Nothobranchius furzeri: one gene and its partner. The protein of the gene in region 1 interacts with the protein of each later gene in a pairwise test. Links are inferred from orthologs where the notes say so. Each region holds a gene or a part of one and is shown on either strand. Other genes may lie near its edges.

What was found. The genes of interacting proteins can lie anywhere in the genome.
Region 2: the proteins of golga2 (region 1) and KAT8 regulatory NSL complex subunit 1 interact in binary tests that used the Homo sapiens proteins (3 or more experiments, as listed by UniProt). The two-hybrid records come from large-scale screens. The link is inferred for Nothobranchius furzeri from reciprocal best matches to the Homo sapiens genes GOLGA2 and KANSL1.

What each region holds. Positions count from the first base shown.
Region 1 is NC_091746.1:54,867,080-54,869,545, reverse strand, and holds part of golga2 (golgin subfamily A member 2), read left to right. Parts: intron 1-247; coding exon 248-434; intron 435-1,583; coding exon 1,584-1,852; 3' UTR 1,853-2,466. UniProt on the Homo sapiens protein: Peripheral membrane component of the cis-Golgi stack that acts as a membrane skeleton that maintains the structure of the Golgi apparatus, and as a vesicle thether that facilitates vesicle fusion to the Golgi membrane.
Region 2 is NC_091756.1:53,931,750-53,935,406, reverse strand, and holds part of KAT8 regulatory NSL complex subunit 1, read left to right. Parts: intron 1-3,398; coding exon 3,399-3,523; intron 3,524-3,595; coding exon 3,596-3,653; intron 3,654-3,657. UniProt on the Homo sapiens protein: Non-catalytic component of the NSL histone acetyltransferase complex, a multiprotein complex that mediates histone H4 acetylation at 'Lys-5'- and 'Lys-8' (H4K5ac and H4K8ac) at transcription start sites and promotes transcription initiation.

The DNA of each region.
Region 1 (2,466 bases):
ATAAATTTCTAAAACATGAGAAGCATGAACTTTATCATGTTACCTACATTTATAATTTGCAATTAATTTGATAATAATCACGTATTAACTATGAAACTCATGCGATGAATTGAACATTTTATTAAATGTCTTTATTTAGATTGATACTGTGCAGCCTAAATTTCTCATTAAAGCTTGGTTTATTTTAACAGTTTTAGAATTAAATGTAGTGTTTCCTGTTCACTGATGCTTACCTCTGATCTATTAGGTCAAACTAGCAGAGCTGCAGGATCTGGTCATGAGGCTGGTGGCTGAGAGGAACGACTGGTACAACCGCTACGCTGGAGCTGTAGCCAACATGGGGGCGGTCAACCCAGACCTGCTTCCTGTTGGACAGGACCACTCTCTTTCAGAGCACCAAACAGGATCTGAGGTTCACGCCGTCAGTGGAGACGGTGAGCACTAGTAGATGCACTAAATCACTAACTGAGCGCTGCAATTTCAGCTTCGTTTCTCTTTTTAGTGGCACTGTTAAAGTAAAAGTCCAATTAGTTATCACACACTGATGAAATTCATCTCTGCGTTTGACCCATTCCCTTGAGGAGCGGTGAGCTGTAGCTGTGGCTGCGCTCAGGAACTATTTGGTGGTTTAACCCCCCCCCCCCCCCCCAATCCAACCCCGCAAAGCTGAGTGTCAAGCAGGGAGGTATTGGGTCCTATTTTTAAAGTCTTTGGTACGACCCAACTCTACTAGAACCACGATCTCTTAGGGCTGGGCAATAAATCGAAAATTTATCCTTATCGAAATTTCTGACTCTTATCGAGATAAATTTTCCCATGTCAATAAATTTGATAATAAAACAATGAAAATTTGTGTAGGTTGGCAACGTTCATGTCCATTTCAGATGCTATACCACCTTGAGTCACATAAAAATGTGATTCAACATAATACATGTGACAGCCCCATCTAGTGGGCTGCATGGTGGAGCAGTTGTTAGCACTCTTGCCTGGCAGCAAGAAGGTTGCAGGTTCGAAACTCGGCCCTGGCCTTTTTGCGTGGAGTTGCGTGTTCTCCCCATGCATGCGTGGGTTTCTTCCAGGCACTCCGGTTTCCCCTACAGATCACAGCATGACCTACAAGTTAAAAATTGTACGTCGCTTTGGATAAAAGCGTCTGCCAAATAAATAAACATAAACATAGAGGACAACTTTTGTTTCTGTGCATACCTGTAGTTATCGTCCATTTATCGTTATCGAGGTTAAATCCTCACTATATCGTGATACTGATTTTAGACCATATCGCCCAGCCCTATCAGACACTCTACCTCTAGGCCTCTGAGAAGGTTGGTGAGACGTTCTTAGATTTCTAGTGGTTCTCATTTAATTTTTGATTAATTCAGGCTTCAAAAAGGCAAATTTGGTGAATGGAATCTTTAAACTGACCCTTTACAAAATGGTCCAATAATTTTGTCTGTATTAAAGTGACAGAAAACGTGATGCTTTTGCTCAGGTGCTCTTGTAACAACAACACATTGTCATTTTCAGACAGATTGTGAATTTCTTCTATATATTTGCAGAGGTTCACTAGTTTTTCTTTTCCACAGAAGCCATGGAGGTCATCCCGCTGTCTGAGCCTCCCAATGGTCTTGAAGCTTCATCATCCCAGACGCTATCACGTGGACTTGTTCAGACTGAATCCAAACCACTGGGGCCAAAGGAGGATGGCACAGCCTGGCAAATCATGCAGCTCCTCCAGGAGATCCAGAACCCACAGGGGGCTCAGAGGTCACCCCACTTCCTAGGAGAGAACCCTTGCATCCCGTTCTTTTATCGGCCTGACGAGCAGGATGAAGTCAAGGTCCTGGTGGTGTGAGCTGTGGACATGTCCTGAGATGTTAACCCCTACAGTTTACCACATTTGTAGCCTCTTGATCAGATTTACAAATGCTCCTTACAGAGTTTGACTCCTTAAAACTGGTCAGATTTAGGAAAAATGTGTCCAAGTTACGTTGAGTCGCCCCTTTTTGTTATCATCCCTTTTGTTTTTTTTAATTATTTTTTATGTGAGTTAATCATTCTTCTTAAATGCAAATTGATTAATCTCGAATTTTGAATTCGTGTCACCCATCTCACACAAATGTGCAATAAAACAGGGCGTCAGTTGGTCCCCTCGCTGGTACAGTCCCTAAAGAACTGTAAAGAACTTTAAATTAGTGACTTTTTTTACACGCAAATGTTTCTTTCCTCACTGCACACATGCCAAAGAGCAGCACCACAACTGAATGTATTAACCCTGATATTTACGTGTGTGTGTGTGTGTGAGAGAGGGAGAGAAATGTGAAGAGGACGGTGCAGAGATGGGACGTCAGTACGGCTGGCCTAACTAATGAACGCAGACTGGTGAAGCTAGGTCAGAGCTGGATGAAGTTACTCAGTCAAGTTCAGGCAGAGACGAGGGCGCCGGTGGTTCAAAAACCACCATGTTCA
Region 2 (3,657 bases), on another chromosome or scaffold:
TTAACCCAGAACTGTGCTTATTGGGAGATAAATCTCAGTTGCCTAATGTAAATAAGTGTAATTTTTCAATCATCTCAGTGGGATTAACAACAGCCTGTGGAGTCATTTTAAGACACTGGAAAGCAGTAGAATCTCCAGAGGTTAAGGAATGGGTCTGTGCAATGGCCGAATCTGCATCATGTGAATGTATGCTCAGTAGTAGTTGTAGTGAGTGAAGACAACAGAGAGGGAACTGGGATGGATTCTGGAACTTTATAAAGACAAAGGCCTTGGGTGAAATCAAGCACGTTATGTGACTGCTGTTACTCAGACATTACGTGTCTGCAAGAGTTCTATGATTGGGACCTGTATCCAAAATCAACTGTTATATCTGTATATTTAGTACCTCCATGTTTAGTATCTATTGAGACTGCTATGTACCAGCCCCTAAAAGAAAGTTCAATACAAACTTGAATAAAAAAAAAAAAAAGAAGTGAATTGGAAGTCCAGTGGGCAGTATCCACCACCTCCATCTTGGCCACGTCATACGTCTTGTCACTCCAGGAAAATACAAAAATAGAGCTGTGAGGGTGGAGGGCAGGTAATTGACTCCCATCAAACTCTGAGCCGAGGTGGCTACGAGCTAACCAAAGCTAACGGAGGTTGGTGGGTGCTCGTATCCAGAAAACTGCAATTGACCGACTGCTACCCTTAGCTTTGTAGGTTATAATGCTTTTAAAGGGTTCGTTACGGTGCTTGAAATCCTTGACAATGCTTTTATTTTAATAACATGTTTTCAAGGTATGGAAAGTGCTTGATTTCTGTATTAAGTATTTGAAAATGTTTGAAAAACAAACTTCAGTTTTATATTTGTGATCAATTTAGTTTGATTAAAAAACAAAATTTGTAAATACTGAAAACTAGAGTTATCATTTTACCTTTAATAAATGCTGCTGCTGCTGCTCCATGGGGGTCGGCTCTTTTCTGTAACACCGGTGTGTGAGCAGCAGACTCCAGCGGTGTCTTCTGGCTTCGCTTTGTAGCAGACCCACTTTAACTATGAAACATATTTGCTTGTCACGCGCGTGTGCTTTGGTTCTAGGATCCAGCGGGATGTGATGCTTAGTTATGCAATCAGGACTGTAGCAGGGTACCCAAAACAACAGTAGGAAAGATTTTTTTCGCTGCTAAGTTTTGGTACTTTCCCTGTTATAAGCTGCAACGCCCCACTCCTCCCAATGCTGCGGTTCACATCAGATGTAGGCTGCTTTCTCGGCCACTAATTTTGTTTACAAAACATCTCCGAGTTCGTGAACTAATAAAATACCAACAAAAAAAAGTTTCGGCTGCATCTTGTTGAAGTAAACAGTAGAACTAAATGTAACGTGTTCAGATTTGTTTCACTAAACATAGAAACACCAGTCATTTAATAAAGCACTTGGTCATTCATCGCGTCTGTTTGTGAACCGAAGCTTCCATGTACTGTGTTTGGTTGCAAAAGCAGACCAGACCTACTGTGGCAAGCCATTTTATCATTTATTCAGCAGCAACACCTACTTGTAATACCTATGATACACAGGGACAATATAATTCAACCTAGTCTGTCTCTCTTGTCTCGTCAGGAAGACCATTGATAAAAAATGTGTTAATATTACTAACATGTTTGATTATAGCTTCATTGCTTAGAATTAAAATAGTTTAAAAAGTGTGTGGCTGTGTTGTGCGATAAACATCACCAGGATACACGCATGTTGCGGCTGGCAGGCTCGCTCTTCCCTGCACCTGTAGTGCTGGATGTGAAAAAAGTGATGAGAAAGCAGCTCCTTCATCGGCTCCAGGAGGCTGCACAAACTATTTGCAACCACAGTCATTCAGCGTGAATAATGTACTGCTTTCCTGGTTGTGTTTTAGCTGTTCATAGGCAATTTCTCTCTCTGTGTTAGCTAGTTGTGTGTTTTTGTTTGAGTTGCTGCTGTGAACTGGGAGAGCTGGGTGTTTGGTTTCAGGGTGGCAGACTAGAACTAAAAGCAGATGGTTAAAACTAAGACATCCTTATGTTTGAAATTCTTTCTGAGGATGAATTTAAAAGGTCTTCCTTGTTGCTTTATAGTGTTATATCTGATCTCTTTCACCTGCTTCCAATTTAAAATAATGTGATCAGGGCCAATGTCCAATCCTGTGATTGGATAAGATCGTCACTGTTAATGTGAGGTGAGGTGAAACTCTCCTCTTGAGTTCTTGTGTATTGTCTTGTCTTTAACGTATGATGCTTAAGAAGTCTGAAAATTAACCTTGGAGACGCTTGAATTTGTCACTGGGAAAAGTGTAACAACCCTGTTTTAACATGAGGCTGAGGTTTTTCCCTGGAAACCCAAAATCATCCGCATGAACCTGGTCTAGCTGGCTCTGTGTGATGTCACAATCAGATGTGGTTCTGATCCAATCAGCTTCAGATGAAACACAACCCGTGTTCTTGGAACTGTCGATGGTCACAGGAGTTTTACTTTGAAGGAACAAATCTACTTCTGCCTGAAAACAGGAAGTGAGTTTATGATCAATCAGATGGAGGGCATCTAAGTGTCCTTTACTTACTGGAATAAAACATGTAGTGTTTAATTTTCAAAAAGTTTTATTAAACAAAATGTCTGATTTCATAAACATGTATTTGGGGTTATTTATGAACAGTAACAAAAACCAGGCTCTGGAGTTTTAGGGCTGATTTATGCGTCTCCGTCTGCGTCAGTGTGGAGACACGCAACGCCATTATCCGTCCTTGCGTAGGGCCCTGGCAGGCACGCAAGTACGTACGGAGTCGAGCCCACTTTTCTAAACATCCGTCCGTCGAGATGGAGAACGCACGCTTGTGATTGGTCAGGGCATCGCTGTCGTCTACACCGCCGCCATTGCGCCCTCAAAAACATAAAAAGAGCCGAGAATAACTAGCGGCAGACACGGAGAAGCTTGAAGAATACCTCGCGAAAAAAACTATAAACGTTTAATTCCCCCGTAGCTGGAGGAGTGAAAAGATGCGCAGCAAGCGTTTAATTTGTGGACGGAAATGACAGGAAACGTGGGTTTAGAGGTGGGGAGCGCATGAAGGGGTGAAGGAGAATGAGAGACAAATTTGTCCGTGTTAAAAAGTCTCTTATGTACAAAAAACACAATATAAACACACGATCTTGGACCGATACCTGACAGGATACCACAGAACAGCGCTACGCCCTCTGTTGTCCTGGCGGGGAATTGCTTTGCAACACTCTCCAGGAGACGGAGAAGTATGAGAGCAAAACGCTTCTGTCTGTCCGTGCGTGTCTGTCCCTTGCGGAGCTGACGGAGAAGCATGAATCAGCCTTAAGATCAAGTGGGTGTTGACCCGCTTCAGCACTGGTCTGATTTGTGTGTTCTGATTGGTCTTCCAGCAGCAGCCCATCAAGCGGCGGCGAGGTGAAAGCTCGTTTGACATAAACAACATCGTGATACCCATGTCGGTGGCAGCCACCACCCGGGTGGAGAAGCTCCAGTACAAAGAGATCCTCACACCCAGGTAGAGACTGCGTCCAAGTGTGGTTCTGGCTCTGATGGGAGTTCTGGGGCTGACTGTTTTCTGTTCCTTTAGTTGGAGATCTGTGGATGTTTTCTGTTTGCCCATAACTGAAGAGGAGGACGAGCGCGAGGTGG